2 linked regions of the Anolis sagrei genome follow. The protein of the gene in region 2 purifies or fractionates together with the protein of the main gene of each other region. This does not show direct contact. Links are inferred from orthologs where the notes say so. Each region holds a gene or a part of one and is shown on either strand. Other genes may lie near its edges.

Evidence for each region. The genes of interacting proteins can lie anywhere in the genome.
Region 1: the proteins of STX6 (region 2) and VAMP3 purify together in Homo sapiens (affinity purification with mass spectrometry; 5 studies listed by BioGRID and IntAct, counting the BioPlex papers as one, with this or other methods). This does not show direct contact. The link is inferred for Anolis sagrei from reciprocal best matches to the Homo sapiens genes STX6 and VAMP3.

Annotation. Positions count from the first base shown.
Region 1 is NC_090033.1:20,404,615-20,415,308, reverse strand, and holds the start of VAMP3 (vesicle-associated membrane protein 3), read right to left. Parts: upstream 4,140-10,694; 5' UTR 3,980-4,139; coding exon 3,978-3,979; intron 1-3,977. UniProt on the Homo sapiens protein: SNARE involved in vesicular transport from the late endosomes to the trans-Golgi network.
Region 2 is NC_090024.1:124,841,972-124,852,425, reverse strand, and holds the start of STX6 (syntaxin-6), read right to left. Parts: upstream 4,415-10,454; 5' UTR 4,239-4,414; coding exon 4,204-4,238; intron 902-4,203; coding exon 732-901; intron 1-731. UniProt on the Homo sapiens protein: SNARE promoting movement of transport vesicles to target membranes. Targets endosomes to the trans-Golgi network, and may therefore function in retrograde trafficking.

The DNA of each region.
Region 1 (10,694 bases), on a different chromosome or scaffold from region 2:
GCTATGGCTGACTTCTCTGGTTGACGTAGTCTGCAGTGCCTTCCATGTTCCTTGATCCGTGTTTGGGCAATGCTGCTGCCTTTGGTGGTCTCTATGGAGACTTGTCTACACCTCTAATGGAGTCTACTGTATGCCATGCAGCTGTGGACAACTCTACAGAGGGATGACCAAACACAGCATTCTCCAGGGAGGAGTCAAGGAAGATGAAAGGCACGGTAGACTACTTCAGCCACAGCAGAGCACCTGAGGAACCAACCTGGGCACAGAATACTATCTGAGAACACAGAAATGCTGGACCACTCTCACAACTACCATGTCAAGCGACACAGAAGCCGTTGAAACTACAAGAAGCCAAGGAGGAAACCATGAAAATGAACAAAACCTGGCTATTAAAAAGCTCTAAAATCAGGACAGTAAATAAAGAAGAACACTAAAAAACCAGGGGAATTCCAAGCAGGAAACAATCACAGCTAGCTTACACCTCCAAACAAAGGATTCCCCCCAGGCAGTAACCACCCAGGCTTTGAAGCTACAAGGCTATTCAATGCTAATTAAGCTGTTGCTTTCATACTCGTCGCAAGCAAACATGAGTTCTTTTTCCCACCCTGGGCATTATTCCACAGATATATTAACCCCGCTTGCCTATTTTTCAACAGGCCTCACAACCTCTGAGGATGCCCGCCATAGATGTGGGCGAAACGTCAGGAGAGAATGCTTGAACGTGGCCAGACAGCCTGGCAAACTCACAGCAACCCAATTATTATTATTTTATTTCTTACCTGCCTCTCCTCTTGTACAATTATTATTATTATTATTATTATTATTATTATTATTATTATTATTATTATCGTCGTTACTACTACTACTACTATTATCATTGGGTTGTTGTAGGTTTTTTCGGGCTATATGGAACTAGGAAAAAGGGTTTATATATATCTCTGGAATGACCAGGGTGGGACAAAGGACTCTTGTCTGCTGTGTAAGAAAAGCCATTGAAATCCACGAGAAGCATGTGGACAATTTCAACAAAAGGAGGAAACCATGAAAATGAACAAAATCTGGCTGCCAGTATTAAAAAAAAACTCTAAAATTACAACAGCAACACAACAGAGAGGAAACAATCAGGCACATCTAATCACCTCTCAACAAAAGATTGCTCCAGGCACTGTCAGACCATTATATGCTAATCAAGGTGGTCAGTTGAAACATTCACACCCAGCTCCAGCAGACAAGAGTCCTTTGTCCCACCCTGGTCATTCCTAGTTCCAACAGACCTCACTACCTCTCAGGATGCTTGCCATAGATGCAGGCGAAACGTCAGGAGAGAATGCCTCTAGACCATGGCCATATAGCCCGAGAAAACCTACAACAACCCAGTGATTCCGGCCATGAAAGCCTTCGACAATACTACTATCATTATGTGTTATAATACTATATAGTACTAATAGTAGTAGTACAAGAGGAGTATTGTATTATTATTATTATTATTAGTATTAATAATAATAATAATAATAATACAAGAGGAGAGGTGATTAAGAAATAAACTAATAATAACAATAATAATAATAATAATAGGGTTGCTGTGAGTTTTCTGGGCTGTCTGGCCATGTTCCAGAAGCATTCTCTCCTGACGTTTTGCCTACATCTATGGCAGGTATCCTCAGAGGTTGTGAGGCCTGTTGGAAACTAGGCAATAATAATAATAATAATAATAATAATAATAATAATAATAAGGTTGCTGTGAGTTTTCTGGGCTGTCTGGCCATGTTCCAGAAGCATTCTCTCCTGACGTTTTGCCTACATCTATGGCAGGTATCCTCAGAGGTTGTGAGGCCTGTTGGAAACTAGGCAATAATAATAATAATAATAATAATAATAATAATAATAATAATAAGGTTGCTGTGAGTTTTCTGGGCTGTCTGGCCATGTTCCAGAAGCATTCTCTCCTGACGTTTTGCCTACATCTATGGCAGGTATCCTCAGAGGTTGTGAGGCCTGTTGGAAACTAGGCAATAATAATAATAATAATAATAATAATAATACAAGAGGAGAGGCGGGTAGGAAATAAAAGTATTATTATTAATAATAAATAATAAATAAAATAAGAAAATAAATTTTAATAATAATAATAATAATAATAATACAAGAGGAGAGGCGGGTAAGAAATAAAATAAGACAAGAGGTTGGTAAGAAATAAAATTATATTATTATCATTATTTGTTATAATATATAGTAATAATAGTAGTACAAGAGGAGAGGCGAGTCAGAATTAAAATAATAATAATAATAATAATAATAATAATACAAGAGGAGAGACAGGTAGGAAATAAAATATTATTATTAATAATAAATAAAATAAGAAAATAAAATTTAATAATAGTAATAATAACACAAGAGGAGAGGCAGGTAAGAAATAAAAATATTATTATTAATAATAATAATAAATAAATAAATAAATTTTAATAATAATAATAATACAAGAGAAGAGGCGGGTAAGAAATAAAAATATTATTAATAATAAATAATAAATAAAATAAGGAAATAAATTTTAATAATAATAATAATAATAATAATAATAATAATACAAGACGAAAGGCAGGTAAGAAATAAAAATATTATTAATAATAAATAATAAATAATAAATAAAATAAGGAAATAAATTTTAATAATAATAATAATACAAGAGGAGAGGTGGGTAAGAAATAAAAATATTATTATTATTAATAAATAATAAATAAAATAAGAAAATAAAATTTTAATAATAATAATAATAGAAGAGGAGAGATGGGTAAGAAATAAAAATATTATTATTAATTAATAATAAATAAAATAATAAAATAAAATTTAATAATAATAATAATAATACAAGAGGAGAGGCAGGTAAGAAATAAAAGTATTATTATTAATAATAAATAATAAAATAAAGAAATAAATTTTAATAATAATAATAATAATAATACAAGAGGCAGGTAAGAAATAAAAATATTATTATTAATAAATAAAATAAGAAAATAAATTTTAATAATAATAATAATAATAATAGAAGAGGAGAGGTGGGTAAGAAATAAAATTATTATTATTATTATTATTATTATTATTATTATTAGGGTTTGGGCAGCTTAAAAAATGTTTCCCATGTTTTGATAATAGAACCAAGGAGGAAATAAGGACAATATTATTATTATTATTATTATTATTATTATTATTATTAATACAAGAGGAGAGGTGGGTATAATAAATATTATTATAATACTATGTAACACGATTTTTTTTTTGTTGCCGGGTTATAAATGTCCTTATTTGGTTCTATTATCAAAACTTGGGAAAAGTTTGTTAAGCTGCCCAAACTTTTCACATCTTCCAGCTCGTTTTGCTCAGGTTGTTTCACCCTCATTGAGTTCCCAACCTTTGTGGCAACCACCAAACACAAAGTTGCCGGAGTAGGAAGTGCCGCACAACGACACAGGAAGCAACACTTTCAAAGCAGAAACATTTTGCACGTTTTGTTGCATAGTGTCCCATTGCACGCCTCTCGCTTGAGAGTGGGAAGAGTAAGCAAGGAGTGTGCCTCCCATTGTGGTTGGAGTATTTCCAAGGCCTCTTGCCTCCACTCCCAAGTTGGTCTTCTTGTTGTGGGCTCACTCTCAGAGGCGCAAAGACATAAGAGACATGCACAAGAAGTGGAAAAAGGGAGAAATCAACAAAGAAGATTTCTCCAACTCTTTGATTCTATAATTTATTTATTTATTTATTTACTAGCAACGCGTTGCTTTGCTTTCACCCCTGGCTTTGCAGAGACCCCTGGGTTGCCTTGTGGGGGGGATTCCCCCCCCCCCCAGGCAGAGCTTGTGGTGTGTCTCAAGGCGCTGCTGGGCCCAGCCCCAGAGAACCAGGAAGGAAGGCTGAAAACGAAAGTGTTGTGGCCTGGTATTGTGGGGGGAGGAAACAGGGAAGGAGGAGGGAAAGGGGTCACTCACATGATAGCAGAGGAAGAGGAGGGGGACAATCCAAGCTCTTCTCCAAGGGTCTCTTAGCTGCTCCGGTTGCTCTTGCTGCTGCTTCTCCCACTTTGGCACTGGCCCCTCCTCCAGGAAGGAAGGAAGGGAGCCCAACCCAAGGCCAGGGAAAGGGCCCCCAGAGGCAGGCAGAGAGAGAAAGAGGTGGAGACACTGGAGCAACAGCTGGGCAGAGTTTCATGGAGTGCTTTCCTTCCTGGCCGCCCTTGGATTGCCTTCAGCTGGGAGAGGCGCAGCACCGCCCTGCCTTGGGATTGCCTTTGGCCTGGGAAGGGCTCGTATTCCTCCCAGACAGAGAATCCCAGAGTTGGAAGACACCCTGGGGGCCATCTCTCCCCATAGAGACCCCAAACGCAGCAGCATTGCCCAGGGACGAATCAAAGAATATGAAAGGCACTGTAGACTAACTGATGAACCAACCTGGTCATGGGTAGATGGGAATTTCTCAAGAGTGAAATACTCAAGACGCAATTGCAAACTGTGCCAAAAAAGAGAAAAATAGAACAAGTGCAAAGAAGCCAGAATGGATGTTCAAAGAACTTCTAACTGTGCTAAAACACAAAAGAGACATGCACAAGAAGTGGAAAAAGGGAGAAATCACCAAAGAAGATTTCTCCAACTCTTTGATTGCATACACTTTGCCAGCTGCGCCACAATCCCAGCCTTCTCTCCATAGAGACCCCCAACGCAGCAGCATTGCCCAGGGACGAATCAAAGAATATGAAAGGCACTCTAGACTAACTCAGCCCTAGCAGAGCACCTGATGAACTAACCTGGTCACCGATGGGATGGGAATTCCTCATTGCAAACTGTGCCAACAAAGAGGAAAAATAGGACAAGTGCAAAAAGAAGCCAGAACGGATGTCCAAAGAACTAACTGTGCTAAGACACAAAAGAGACATGCACAAGAAGTGGAAAAAGGGAGAAATCACCAAAGAAGATTTCTCCAATTCTTTGATTCTATGATTTATTTCATAGAATCATAGAATCAAAGAGTTGGAAGAGACCTCATGGGCCATCCAGTCCAACCCCATTGTGCCAAGAAGCAGGAATATTGTGTTCAAATCACCCCTGACAGATGGCCATCCAGCCTATGTTTCAAAGCTTCCAAAGAAGGAGCCTCCACCACACTCCGGGGCAGAGAGTGCCACTGCTGAACGGCTCTCACAGTCAGGAAGTTCTTCCTCATGTTCAGATGGAATCTCCTTTCTTGTAGTTTGAAGCCATTGTTTCGCGTCCTAGTCTCCAGGGAAGCAGAAAACAAGTTTGCTCCCTCCTCCCTGTGGCTTCCTCTCACATATTTAGCCTCCCCACACTTTAAGGTGGTACCTAATTTTCCTACTTGACAGATGCAACTGTCTTTCGGGTTGCAAAGGTCGACAACAGGCTACACAATTGATTGGAAACCCACTCCAACCCGGGCTGGCTTCGAACTCATGACCTTTTGGTCAGAGTGATCTTAATGCATCTGACACTCAGCCAGCTGCGCCACACTCCCGGGCTTCTCTCAATAGAGACCCCCAACGCAGCAGCATTGCCCAGGCATGAATCAAAGAATATGAAAGGCCCTGTAGACTAGCTCAACTGGAGAAGTCAGCCACAGCAGAGCACCTGATGAACCAACCTGGTCACGGATGGGATGGGAATTTCTCAAGAGTGAAATACTCAAGGCGCAATTGCAAACTGTGCCAACAAAGAGGAAAAATAGGACAAGTGCAAAAAGAAGCCAGAATGGATGTCCAAAGAACTTCTAACTGTGCTACGACTCAAAAGAGACATGCACAAGAAGTGGGAAAAGGGAGAAATCATCAAAGAAGATTTGAATGCAATATTCCTGCTTCTTGGCAGAATGGGGTTGGACTGGATGGCCCATGAGGTCTCTTCCAACTCTTTGATTCTATGATTCTGTAAGATTTCTACAACTCTTTGATTCTATGATTTATTTATTTATTTATTTATTACTAGCCGTCCCCTGCCACGCGTTGCTGTGGGGGTTCTGTGTGGGAAGTTTGATAGGGTTCAGAATGCTCTGTGATTGTAGGTGAACTATAAATCCCAGCAACTACAACTCCTAAATGTCAAGATTCTATTTTCCCCAAACTCCACCAGTGTTCACATATGGGCATATTGAGTATTCGTGTAGAGTTTGGTCCAGATCCATCATTGTTGGAGTCTACAGTGATCTCTGGATGTCGGTGAACTACAACTCCAAAACCAAAGGACACTACCCACCAAACCCTTCCAGTATATTTCTGTTGGTCATGGGAGAACTGTGTGCCAAGTTTGGTTCAATTCCAACGTCAGTGGGGTTCAAAACGCTCTTTGATTGTAGGTGAACTATACATCCCAGCAACTACAACTCCCAAAGGGCAAAATCATAATGTTTTGAGTGATGGTCACTCCTTGTGTTGTGAGACGTTTTGTTGCCAAATTTGGTGTGATTTCGTTCATTGGTTCTTTTGTTTTTAAGGGACTCATGATGCACAGAGCATTTATATATATAGATAGATATAAATCCATTCACATGATAACTCTCCTGCTGAATCTGCATGCCCAGTGTGGACCACATCTCACCACGCTCAAACAGTGGATGTGGCTCTTAATGAGACATGCCGCATTATCACGGGGTGTCTGCGCCCTACACCACTGGAGACATTACACTGCTTAGCCGGTATTGCACCACCTGACATCCGCCGGGAAGGAGCAGCCAATAGTGAAAGGACCAAGGCAGAGACACCTCCAGCCCATCCCCTGTTTGGGTATCAGCCAGCACGTCAACGACTTAAATCAAGAAATAGTTTCCTAAGACCTACAGAGACACTCGTTGGAACACCCCAGCAAGCGAGAGTCCAAAAGTGGCAGGCTCAAACCCAGAAATCGCATTCAAAGCACCCCTGAGAGATGGATTCTTACCTTTTGAAACCACTTCAGCTCACACTGCCGTGGAAGGCCGGCTCCTCCGAATCCATTCAAATGCCTCCTTGTGGTCACTTTTTAAACCCTTTCCCCCCTAATATTGCGCCGTGACGAAGCCTGGAAGTTATTGCAAGATTGTAGCTGATGGGATGCATCCCGGTTGTCAGGCCACACATCAAAACAGCGCCTCCGCAGGATATACAGTCGTAGTCAATCAAAAAACCACAATTGTCCCCCTCTTTTTCTGCGTTTCTTTCCCTTTTCCCCCTTTTCTTCCCACGTTTCTTTCCCTCTTTCTGCACTTCTTTCCCCCCTTTTCCGAGTTTTTCCTTTCTTCCCACATTTATTTCCCTTTCTTTCCACGTTTCTTTCCCCCTCTTTCAGTTTTTCTTTCCTTTTCTTTCCATGTTTCTTTTCCTCTCTTCCTTCATCTTTCCCTCTTTCTGCATTTCTTTCCCCCTCTTCCAGTGTTTCTCTCCTTTCTTTCCGTGTTTCTTTTCCCCTCTTCCCACATTTCTTTCCCTCTCTTTATGTGTTTCTTTCCCCCTTTCCCGCATTTCTTTCCCTTTCTTTTCATGTTTCTTTCCTTCTCTTCCCGTTTCTTTCCGCATTTCTTCCCCTCATTCTGCATTTCTTTCCCTCTCGTTCAGTTTTTCCTGCTTTCTGCGTCTTTCCCTCTTTCTGCATTTTCCCCTTTCTGCATTTCTTTCCCTTTCCCCCATGTTTCTTTCCCTCTCGTTCCACGTTTCCTTCCCACACTTCCAGCGTCTTTCCCTTTCCATGTTTCTTTACCTCTCTTCCCGTGTTTCTCTCCCACTTTTTCTGCATTTCTTTTCCTTTCTTCCTGCGTTTTCCCCTTTCTTCCTGTGTTTTTCCCTCTCTTCCCGTGTTTCTCTCCCACTCTTTCCGCTTCCCCCCCTTTCTTCCTGCGTTTCCCCTCTCTTCCCGTGTTTCTCTCCCACTCTTTCCGCATTTCCTTCCCTTTCTTCCTGCGTTTTCCCTCTCTTCCCATGTTTCTTTTCCTCTCTTCCTACGTTTTTCCCTTTCTTCCCGTATTTCTTTCCCTCTCTTCTCGTGTTTCTCTCCCACTTTTTTCTGCATTTCTTTCCCTTTCTTCCTGCGTTTTTCCCTCTCTTCCCGTGTTTCTCTCCCACTCTTTCCACATTTCTTTTCCTTTCTTCCTGCGTTTTCCCTCTCTTCTCATGTTTCTTTTCCTCTCTTCCTGCGTTTTTCCCTTTCTTCCCGTATTTCTTTCCCTCTCTTCTCGTGTTTCTCTCCCACTCTTTCCGCATTTCTTTCCTTCTCTTCCTGCATTTTTCCCTCTCTTCACGTGTTTCTCTCCCACTCTTTCCGCATTTCTTTTCCTTTCTTCCTGCATTTTTCCCTTTCTTCCCATGTTCCTTTCCCTCTCTTCCCGTGTTTCTCTCCCACTTTTCCTCCATTTCTTTCCCTTTCTTCCTGCATTTTTCCCTCTCTTCCCGTGTTTCTCTCCCACTCTTTTCGCATCTCTTTCCCTTTCTTCCTGCATTTTCCCCTCTTCCCATGTTTCTCTCCCACTTTTCCGCATTTCTTTCCCTTTCTTCCTGTGTTTTTCCCTTTCTTCCCGTGTTTCTTACCCTCTCTTCCCGTGTTTCTCTCCCACTTTTCCTTCATTTCTTTCCCTTTCTTCCTGTGTTTTTCCCTCTTCCCGTGTTTCTCTCCTACCTTTTCCGCATTTCTTTCCCTTTCTTCCTGCATTTCTCCCTTTCTTCCTGTGTTTCTCTCCCACTCTTTCCGCATCCTTTCCCTTTCTTCCTGTGTTTTTCCCTTTCTTCCCGTGTTTCTTAGCCTCTCTTCCCGTGTTTCTCTCCCACTTTTCCTCCATTTCTTTCCCTTTCTTCCTGTGTTTTTCCCTCTTCCCGTGTTTCTCTCCTACCTTTTCCGCATTTCTTTCCCTTTCTTCCTGCATTTTTCCCTCTCTTCCCGTGTTTCTTTCCCACTCTTTCCGCATTTCTTTCCCTTTCTTCCTTCGTTTCTCCCTTTCTTCCTGTGTTTCTCCCCCACTTTTTCTGCATTTCTTTCCCTTTCTTCCTGCGTTTTTCCCTTTCTTCCTGCGTTTTTCCCGTTCTTCCTGTGTTTCTTTCCCTCTCTTCTCGTGTTTCTCTCCCACTTTTTCTGCATTTCTTTCCCTTTCTTCCTGTGTTTTCTCTTCTTCTCGTGTTTCTCTCTCACACTTTCTGCATTTCTTTCCTTTTCTTCCTGCGTTTTTTCCCTCTCTTCCCGTTTTTCTCTCCCACTTTTTCCACATTTCTTTCCCTTTCTTCCTGTCTTTTCCCCGTTCTTCCTGTGTTTCTTTCCCTCTCTTCCCATGTTTCTCTCCCACTCTTTCTGCATTTCCCCCCCTTTCTTCCTGTGTTTTTCCCTCTCTTCCCGTGTTTTTCTCCCACTTTTTCCGCATTTCTTTTCCTTTTTTCCTGTGTTTCTCTCCCACTTTTTCCGCATTTCTTTCCCTTTCTTCCTGCGTTTTTCCCTTTCTTCCCGCATTTTTCCCTTTCTTCCCGTGTTTCTTTCTCTTTCTTCCCGCGTTTCTTTCCCTTTCTTCCCGTGTTTCTTTCCCTCTCTTCCCGTGTTTCTCTCCCACTTTTTCTGCATTTCTTTCCCTTTCTTCCTGCGTTTTTTCGTCTCTTCCCATTTTTCTCTCCCACTTTTTCCGCATTTCTTTCCCTTTCTTCCTGCGTTTTTCCCTTTCTTCCCGTGTTTCTTTCCATCTCTTCCCGTGTTTCTCTCCCACTTTTTCCGCATTTCTTTCCCTTTCTTCCTGCGTTTTTCCCTTTCTTCCCGTGTTTCTTTCCATCTCTTCCCGTGTTTCTCTCCCACTTTTTCCGCATTTCTTTCCCTTTCTTCCTGTCTTTTTCCAGTTCTTCCTGTGTTTCTTTCCCTCTCTTCCCATGTTTCTCTCCCACTCTTTCTGCATTTCCCCCCCTTTCTTCCTGTGTTTTTCCCTCTCTTCCCGTGTTTTTCTCCCACTTTTTCCGCATTTCTTTTCCTTTTTTCCTGTGTTTCTCTCCCACTTTTTCCGCATTTCTTTCCCTTTCTTCCTGCGTTTTTCCCTTTCTTCCCGCATTTTTCCCTTTCTTCCCATGTTTCTTTCTCTTTCTTCCCGCGTTTCTTTCCCTCTCTTCCCGTGTTTCTCTCCCACTTTTTTCGCATTTCTTTCCCTTTCTTCCTGCGTTTTCCCCTCTCTTCCTGTGTTTCTCTCCCACTTTTTTCGCATTTCTTTCCCTTTCTTCCTGTGTTTTTCCCTCTCTTCCCGTGTTTTTCTCCCACTTTTTCCGCATTTCTTTTCCTTTTTTCCTGTGTTTCTCTCCCACTTTTTCCGCATCTTTCCCTTTCTTCCTGCGTTTTTCCCTTTCTTCCCGCATTTTTCCCTTTCTTCCCGTGTTTCTTTCTCTTTCTTCCCGCGTTTCTTTCCCTCTCTTCCCGTGTTTCTCTCCCACTTTTTTCGCATTTCTTTCCCTTCCTTCTTGCGTTTTCCCCTCTTTTCCCGTGTTTCTCTCCCACTTTTTCTGCATTTCTTTCCCTTTCTTCCTGCGTTTTCCCCTTTCTTCCCATGTTTCTTTCCCTTTCTTTCCGCATTTCTTTCCATCTCTTCCTGTGTTTCTCTCCCACTTTTTCCGCATTTCTTTCCCTTTCTTCCTGTGTTTTTCCCTCTCTTCCCGTGTTTCTTCCCGTGTTCCTTTCCCTTTCTTCCCGCGTTTCTTTCCCTCTCTTCCGCACTCCTCT
Region 2 (10,454 bases):
ATGTCGTAGATTCTTAACCAATTCAATATAATTTGTGGCATCCACAAAAATGATGTTTCTGGAGTAGAGCAACTACTTTCAAAGTAAGGACCACACAATGAAACAGAAATTACCAGGAACATAACTTTTTTCAAATTTTGTTACATAGTGTAATTATTGTTAACAATAACAATTCATCAGATCATTTTTAGAATGTGCTTCAAAAGTATATGTAAAATGTCTACAATGCTTTGAAACAGAGGCTGGATGGCCATCTGTCGAGGGAGCTTTAATTGTGCTTTTCCTGAATGCCAGGGGGTTGGACTGGATGTCCTATGTGGTCTCTTCCAACTCTATGATTCTATGAGTGTGGCTATTTTATTTTCTGGGTTGTTTTTTTTTAATATACTTGAAACAGACAACTAATATTAAAAGTACTTGTACTTACTTCAATTTTTTTAAACAATTCTGAGGTTCTCAGCTGCCTTGGTATGCCATGGCTATTTAGTATATTTGCCTTTAATAACACTTTTTAAGGAACTATAGCACATGGAAGAGGAAATACAAATGGACTTGTACAGGATAACTTGAAGCATGAGAAGTAACTTTCTGGTATCAACAACATGTACAACATCAGCTATACTGAAACATATTTATTTATTGGATTAAATGACTGTCACAAAACCACCAGGTTTTCTGGATAAATACTACGTAGGTTCATTTAGTTATTGATCAGAGAACCTTAAGGATATTAATAGTTTCATCTAAGTCCTCAAGATCCCACTCAATGCTCCTTAGATTGTTCCTTAGCTCATTGGTGGTCCAGTCAATTTCTTCTCTTGTAGCTGTAGATGGATCTTGCAGGAGCTCCGTCCATCTCTGGAAGAGCCCCTGGGCAGTATTCACTGCCTTTTGAACTTCCCTGGAAATCAAGGAAAATAAATGAATTAAAGATCATTTAAACGTGACAGAACATCTCATTATCATTACTAAGGATGGCAACTTGCTATCTGTAAACACATTTAATACTATGTGGAAGGACCAAGGCAGAGACATCTCCAGCTCATCCCTTGTTTGGGCATCAGCCAGCACGTCAACAACTTAACTCAAGAAATAGTTTTCTAAGATCTACAGAGACACTTGCTGGAACACCTCAGCAAATGAGAGTCCAAAAGTGGCAGGCTCAAACCCAGAGCCTCAATCAATGGCTGATACCCAATGAGAGACTCCCCCCTGGGCACACAGAAAACTGGGCAACTTGGAAGGCGCTGAACAGACTGCACTCTGGCACCACGAGATGCAGAGCCAACCTTCAGAAATGGGGCTACAAAGTGGAATCCACAACATGCAAGTGTGGAGAAGAGGAAACCACAGACCAGCTGCTGCAATGCAACCTGAGCCCTGCTACATGCACAATGGATGACCTTCTTGCGGCAACACCAGAAGCACTCCAAGTGGCCAGTAGTCAAAGGACATTTAATCAACTACCAAGCTTGCAAATTCTGTGTCTTTTGTATGTTTGTTTGTTTGTTCTGTCAAAAATGTAATACAACTGTTCGGTTGCCCGACATGATAAATAAATAAATAACCATATGCTTATGTGCCTGCACTGAAATATCAACTATTTTAAGCTTGATCTTTCATACCATTTAGTATTGGGTAATTGAAATAAAATAGTAGATGTTGTCTATAGAGGGAATCCTTGTAGAGAGAAATCTATAGAGGGAATCCTTGTAGAGAGAAAATTTTGTTAATTTTGGCCCAGCTCTATAATCTGTTAAGGTCCTTTTGAATTCTGATTCTGTCCTCTGGTGCATTAGCTATCCCTCCTAATTTAGTTTCATCTGCCTATTACTGGGAAAACAAGCTGATTCCTAATCCATCTAAAACGCAGATGTGCTTTTCATCTTAAGAACAAGCCTCTCGAGCTCTGAGGATTATCTGGGAAGGAATCCCACTGGAGCATTCCAGCATACCAAAATACTGGACTGTGCTATGACTTACAAGCACTGCTTGATTATCTAGTGGGTACTAGAAATAATATTGTACAAAAGCCCACAGTGCTCTCTGGGTGTAGGTGAACTACAACTCCCAAACTCACAGTCAATGCCCACCAAACCCTTCTATTGTTTTCTGTTGGTGTTGGGGAGTCCTGTGTGCCAGGTTTAGTTCAATACCATCATTGGTGGAGTTCAGAATGCTCTTTGATTTGAAGTAAACTATAAATCCCAGCAACTACAACTCCCAAATGACAAAATCAATATTTTTTTTGATTGATGGTCACTCCTTGGGTGAGTAGGTGTCTTGTGGCCAAATTTGGCAGCAATTCATATAGTAGTTTTTGAGTTCTGTTAATCCCACAAATGAACATTACATTTTTATTTATCTTCTATATCTATAAAAATGCTCTGTGTATGAGTACCTTAAAAACAAAAGAACCAATGAACGAAATCGCACCAAATTTGGCAACAAAACATCTCACAACACAAGGAGTGACCACCACTCAAAAAATATGATTTTGTCATTTGGGAGTTGTAGTTGCTGGGATTTATAGTTCACCTACAATCAAAGAGCATTCTGAACTCCACTAACAATGGAATTGAACCAAACTTGGCATACAGAACTCCCATGACCAACAGAAAATACTGGAAGGGTATGGTGGGCATTGACCTTGAGTTTGGGAGCTGTAGTTCACCTACATCCAGAGAGCACTGTTGTTGTTGTTGTTCATTCGTTCAGTCATCTCCGACTCTTCGTGACCTCATGGACCAGCCCACGCCAGAGCTCCCTGTCGGCCGTCATCACCCCCAGCTCCTTCAAGGTCAGTCCAGTCACTTCAAGGATGCCATCCATCCATCTTGTCCTTGGTCAGCCCCTCTTCCTTTTGCCTTCCACTTTCCCCAGCATAATTGTCTTCTCTAGGCTTTGCTGTCTCCTCATGATGTGGCCAAAGTACTTCAACTTTGTCTCTAGTATCCTTCCCTCCAGTGAGCAGCTGGGCTTTATTTCCTGGAGGATGGACTGATTGGATCTTCTCGCACTGTGGACTCAAACAATGATGGATCTGGACCAAACTTGGCACAAGCACTCAATATGCCCAAATATGAACACAGATGGTGTTTGGGGGAAATAGACCTTGACATTTGGGATTTGTAGTCACTGGGATTCACAGTTCACCTACAACCAGAGAGCATGCTGAACCTCACCAATGACAGAATTGGGGCAAACTTCCCACACAGAACCCCCATAATTAAGGCCATGTGGTCCAGCTCCCTTCACCAGGACAAGAAAACATAATCAAAGCCCTCCTGACAAAGACCCATCCAGCCATAGATACAGATAGATAGATATGATTCACACACACATTTATTTATTTATTTACGACATTTATATGCCGCCCTTCTCACCCCGAAGGGGACTCAGAGCGGTTTACAAGGTATATATACATACAATATACTATTAACATAGTACAATATCAGTTTTAAAAATATTGCTATATTGCACTATATCAATTATACCGTAATATTATTAGTAATATTACATTTAATGTAAATATATAATTATAATATCATATTATTATTATTAGTAGTAGTATATTGCATTACATTACAATATTATAAATATTATATGTATACACAATATATTATATATTATATTATAACATATTATTAGAATAGCACAGGAGACAAGGTGGAACTGTCCCCTGCCCCCCCCCCTTTCTTCACTCCGGCCCAGAGTGGCAGTTGGTGCTGGGGGGAGGGGTCCCCAACTGATGGCAAATGCAGGAGACAAGATGGTGCTGTCCCCTGGTATCATAGATTTGAAAGGGACCCTTAAAGAAAGACAATGATATCTTGCATGTTCCAGGGTGGGCAAACCAGACACTCTCCACATCAACACTGACAAACTAACAGTAAGAAATACTCCTTACCCACAAGCACAAAGAAATTACATATATTAGAAACCAACACTTTCTCGTTACTTTATTTTCCAGATCACCAGACTGGGCCACAGCAACGCGTGGCAGGCGACAGCTAGTATAGATATAAATACAAATAGATATAGGTATTGACATACACATATACATAGGGGGAAAAACCCCGAACCTTTCCTCTAATGAACTTGTCTAAAAGGAAAACAATGGAACTGTTTGGACCAGGTGGAGTCCACCTCCCTCGCAGCTTCCGCTCAGCCAGAGCCAGGCCTCAGCCCCGGCCTACTCACCCTTTCACCACGAAGAAGGGGTCCTCCATGGACATGGCTTGGAGCCCCGCTTTCCCTCAGAACTGCTCCCTCTCCTCCTCCTCCCTTCAGCTGCCCGACGACCCCTTCCTCCCTTCCCCTCCCGTCCCTTCTCTTCCTTTCTCCCTCAGCTGCTGCTTCCAACCCCCTCGGCCATGAGCGCCCCTTTCACGTGACCCTGGGCGCCGCCTATTGGACCAGAAAGCCTGAAGCATTTCCTTGTCACGTGACAGGGGCGCCGGGGATAGCCCCGCCCTCAAACGGTTGTCATAGCATTGTCGAAGGCTTTCATGGCTGGAATCACTAGGTTCTTGTGGGTTTTTTCGGGCTATATGGCCATGTTCTAGAGGCATTCTCTCCTGACGTTTCGCCTGCATCTATGGCAAGCATCCTCAGAGGTAGTGAGGTCTGTTGGAAATAGGAAAAAGGGTTTATATATCTGTGGAATGACCAAGGTGGGGCAAGGAGCTCTCTGCTGAAGATAGGTATGAATGTTTCAGCTGACCACCTTAGAATCATAGAATCATAGAATCAAAGAATGGAAGAGACCTCATGGGCCATCCAGTCCAACCCCATTCTGTCAAGAAGCAGGAATATTGCATTCAAATCACCCCTGACAGATGGCTATCCAGCCTCTGTTTAAAAGCTTCCAAATAAGCAGCCTCCACCACACTCCGGGGCAGAGAGTTCCACTGCTGAACAGCTCTCACAGTCAGGAAGTTCTTCCTCATGTTCAGATGGAATCTCCTCTCTTGTAGTTTGAAGCCATTGTTTCGCGTCCTAGTCTCCAGGGAAGCAGAAAACAAGCTTGCTCCCTCCTCCCTGTGGCTTCCTCTCACATATTTATACATGGCTATCATATCCCCTCTCAGCCTTCTCTTCTTCAGGCTAAACATGCCCAGCTCCTTAAGCCACTCCTCATAGGGCTTGTTCTCCGGACCTTTTATCATTTTAGTCGCTCTCCTCTGGACACATTCCAGCTTGTCAATATCTCTCTTGAATTGTGGTGCCCAGAACTGGACACAATATTCCAGATATGGTCTAACCAAGGCAGAATGGAGTGATAGTATTACTTCCCTGGACCTAGACACTATGCTCCTATTGATGCAGGCCAAAATCCCATTGGCTTTTTTTGCCGCCACATCACATTGTTGGCTCATGTTTAACTTGTTGTCCATGAGGACTCCAAGATCTTTTTCACACGTACTGCTCTCGAGCCAGGCACTGTCCCCCATTCTGTATCTTTGCATTTCGTTTTTCCTGCCAAAGTGGAGTATCTTGCATTTGTCACTGTTGAACTTCATTTTGTTAGTTTTGGCCCATCTCTCTAATCTGTCAAGATTGTTTTGAATCCTGCTCCTGTCCTCTGGAGTATTGGCTATCCCGCCCAATTTGGTGTCATCTGCAAACTTGATGATCATGCCTTCTAGCCCTTCATCTAAGTCATTAATAAAGATGTTGATGTCCTTTGACCAGTAGCTGGCCACTTGGAGTGCTTCTGGTGTTGCCGAAAGAAGGTCCTCCATTGTGCATGTGGCAGTGCTCAGGTTGCATTGCAGGAAGTGGTCAGTGGTTTGCTCCTCTCCACACGTCTCCACTTGGTAGCCCCATTTCTTAAGATTGGCTCTGCATCTCGTGGTGCGAGAGCGCAGTCTGTTCAGTGCCTTCCAAGTCGCCCAGTTTTCTGTGTGCCCAGGAAGGAGTCTCTCATCTGGTATCAGCCATTGGTTGAGGTGCTGGGTTTGAGCCTGCCACTTTTGGACTCTCGCTTGCTGAGGTGTTCCAGCGAGTGTCTCTGTAGATCTTAGAAAACTATTTCTAGATTTAAGTCGCTGACGTGCTGGCTGATACCCAAACAGGGGATGAGCTGGAGATGTCTCTGCCTTGGTCCTTTCACTATTGGCTGCTACTTCCCGGCGGATGTCAGGTGGTGCAATACCGGCTAAACAGTGTAATTTTTCCAGTGGTGTAGGGTGCAGACACCCCGTGATAATGCGGCATGTCTCATTAAGAGCCACATCCACTGTTCTAGTGTGGTGAGATGTGTTCTACACTGAGCATGCATACTCAGCAGCAGAGTAGCACAGCGCAAGGGCAGATGTCTTCACTGTATCTGGTTGTGATCCCCAGGTTGTGCCAGTCAGCTTTTGTATGATATTGTTTCTAGCACCCACTTTTTGCTTGATGTTCAGGCAGTGCTTCTTGTAGGTCAGAGAACGGTCCAGAGTGACTCCCAGGACCATTCTCTGACCTACAAGAAGCACTGCCTGAATATCAAGTTCCAAGACCCTGTGGAGATAAAAATCTATGGATATTCCAGTCTCATGGATAATTTGATAAGAAAGCTAAATGAAGGAAAACATGTGATGGGGATAGGAAAATCATTAATTTCCAAAAGGGGTGTTGCAAAGCTTAAAGGCAAAACAACTATTCCCTTATCTTTAATTATTGCGTGGTCTGAAGTCCTAAATTTCTTCTCTAGAATTGAGGTCTACTTTTTTTCTCATGTTGTTGTTGTTCATTCGTTCAGTCGCTTCCAACTCTTCATGACCTCATGGACCAGCCCACCCCCAGCTCCTTCAAGGTCGAGCCAGTCACTTCAAGGATCCCATCCATCCAGCTTGCCCCTCTTCCTTTTTCCTGCAATTTTCCTCATTTTTCCTGCCATTTCCTGTCTTCTCATGATGTGGCCAAAATACTTCATCTTTGCCTCTACTATCCATCCCTCCAATGAGCAGTCGGGCATCATTTCCTGGAGTATGGGCTGGTTGGATCTTCTGGTGGTCCAAGGCACTCTCAGAACTTTCCTCCAACACCACAGTTCAAAAGCATCTATCTTCCTTCGCTCAGACTTCCCTATGGTCCAGCTCTCACATCCGTAGGTGACTACGGGGAATACCATGGCTTTGACTATGCAGATCTTCATACCAATGTGATGTCTCTACTCTTCACTATTTTATCGAGGTTGGTCCTCCCAAGAAGTAAGTGTCTTTTGATTTCCTGGCTGCAGTCTGCATCTGCAGTAATCTTTGCACCTAGAAATACAAAGTCTGTCATTGCCTCCACGTTTTCTCCCTCTATTTGCCAGTTATCAATCAGTCCGGCTGCCATAATCCTGTTTTTTTTATGTTTAGCTGCAACCCAGCTTTTGCACTTTCTTCTTTCACCTTGATTAGCAGGCTCCTCAGCTCCTCCTCGCTTTCGGCCATCAAAGTGGTATCATCTGCATATCTAAGGTTTATTTATTTATTTATTTCGCATATTTCTACCCCGCCCTTCTCAACCCCCGAGGGGGGACTCAGGGTGGCTTACAAAAGGCACAATTCGATGCCAATAAAACAGACAATAAGATAAAACATGTATCAACAACAATTATAAAACAATTAAAACAATCCACTTATACATCACAATCAATAAAAAACCAATCTAATGATCAACGTTCACCAAGCTCAGAATCCATAAGTTCATTCCACATTGTCAAATCCTATCAATTCTACTCATCATTGTCCTTTGTCTATCTGCCAGATTACCCAAAGGCCTGGTCCCATATCCATGTTTTTAGTTGCCTTCTAAAAGAGAGGAGGGATGTCGATGACCTAATTTCCCCAGGAAGCCAATTCCACAGGCGAGGGGCCACCACCGAGAAGGCCCTGCTCCTCGTCCCCACCAATCTAACTTGTGATAGAGGTGGGGCCGAGAGCAGGGCCTCCCCAGAAGATCTTAAACTCCGAGGTGGGACGTAGAAGGAGATGTGTTCGGACGGGTACACTGGGTCGGAGCCGTATAGGGTTTTGTAGGTCAGAACCAGCACTTTGAATTGCGCTCGGAACTGGATTGGCAGCCAGTGGAGCTGACATAACAGAGGGGTGATATGTTCCCTGTATGATGCTCCAGTGAGCAATCTGGCCGCCCCCCGCTGGACTAACTGAAGTTTCCGAACAGTCTTCAAAGGCAACCCCACGTAGAGTGCGTTGCAGTAATCTATTCGGGATGTAACAAGAGCGTGGACCAATGTGCCAGATCTGACTTCCCAAGGTACGGGCGCAACTGGCGCACAAGTTTTAATTGTGCAAAAGCTCTCCCGGCCACCGCTGAGACCTGGAGTTCCAGACTCAGCGATGAGTCCAGGATCACTCCCAAGCTGCGAACCTGCTTGTTTCTTCCAGCAATTTCTACCCCAGCCTTGCATTCATCAAGCCCCGCACATCGCATGATGTGTTCTGCATACAAGTTGAATAGGTTGGATAGCACTTACAAATGACTAAATACAGATTGATGTCCTTTCCCATCCAAGGCTCCTGTATTGCTGATCACAGTCAGCCACACTTCCACTACTTTTGTGAGTAAAACCTAGAAATAGCCCCGTATTGCCTCTTCCTGCTCCCCCTCTTTGTCGAGACACCAAGATTGCTGGCTCCTTGTTTGATTTGGCATGGGATCTTCTGTCATCCCAGCCTCCTTTGTTCACTCTTTGCCTGCCCTCTTTGCTTTCATTGTGAACTGGAGTGGCACTCCCAAGGCTTGGCCCAGGGTCCGGTCCCTCAGGTGTTTCATTGTCTCAAAGCCCTTGATTCTTGGCAGCGGAATGTGTTATTAAGGCCCTGCTTTTCAATACAAGAGGTGAGTGGAGCGAGGGGGGAAGAAGGGACACACACCCTCCCTCTCTTCATTTGAAGACAAAAATATAAATTGGCACCACGCAGAATATTTCAAAGGCAGTCTCCCATGGATGAGATTCTGCTCATTATTGTGACATGCTCTCAAGGGAGGCAGAGAATTGTGAAAATGCTCACCAGGTATTCAATCGCCAGAGAAACAGACTCGGCAACCTTTTCTGTCTCCTCTGATTTTATTCTTTAAAAGTTATTTCCATTGCAGAGGGCTTGTTAAAGAAGGACCTTTGTTGTCAGCCTTTTGCAGAGGGGATTCTTTAATTCGCACGGACACTCTGCAGTCCCAAACTGGCTTCCACAATCAAACACGAGCCAGCAAAAGTGCTTGTTAGGATACCATTGTTGCGGTGTTTTCTGCGTTGTGATGACTTCTAGCAGCCTAATCAAGCCCATTGCGCACAGGTTTTTGCTCAGAGCCGCAGGGCAGTGTCTTCTTTTTGCAGGCTTGCTGCAGGCTGTGAAGATTTCAATGGCCTTAGATGGGGGAAAGTCCAAGCACAAAAATGAGCATTTCAAATTGACTACATATTGCTTTTTAATAGTATCTTCCATGTTCTAATTTTAATTTATATAAGATTCAAACAGCCTTAATAATAATAATCATCATCATCTATATAAATAAAAATGTAATGTTCATTTGTGGGATTAACAGAACTCAAAAATCACTGGGAGAATTGACACCAAATTTGGACAGCATACACCTAACAACCTAATGTATGTCCTTCACTCATAAAAACACTGAAAAACACAGCAGAAGGGACTTTAAAAGCCCCAAAAAGCTGAATGACGAAAAGCTAAATGACAATACAGAAAAAAGGGAAGAAAGAGGGAGGGAAGGAGAGAAAAAAAGGGGGGGGGGAAGAAAGAAGGAAAGGGAGAAGGAAGCATGGAAGCAAAGAGAGAAGGAAGGAAGGAAAGAGGTAGCGAAGGAAGAAAGGAGAGAAAGAGGGAGGGAAGGAAAAAAGGGGAAGGACGGAAATTTAGAGAAGGAAGGAAGGAGAGAAGGAAAGAAAAAACAGAAAGAAGGAAGGAAAGAGGGAGCGAAGGAAGGGGGAAGATGTAGAGAAAGAGGGAGGGAAGGAAAAATAAGCAAGAAAAGAGAGAGCAGAAGAGAAAAAAGGGGTAGGAAGGAAAGAGATAGAGAAGGAAGGAAAGACTGGAAGGAAGGAAAGAGGGAGTGAAGGAAGGAGGGAAAGAAGGAGAGAAAGAGGGAAGGTTGGCCACAGCAAAGCGTGGTGGGTATAGCTAGTCTATATAAATAAAAATGTAATGTTTGTTTGTGGTATTAACAGAACTCAAAAACCACTGGATGAATTGACACCAAATTTAGACATGAGACACCTAACAACCCAATGTATGTCCTTCACTCAAAAAACTGATTTTGTCATTTGAGAGTTGCAGTATCTGGGATTTATAGTTCACCTACAATCAAAGAGCATTCTGAACTCCACCAACAATGGAATTTAACCAAACTTGGCACACAGAACTCCCATGACCAACAGAAAATACTGGAAGGGTTTGGTGGGCAGTGTCCTTTGGTTTTGGAGTTGTAGTTCACCT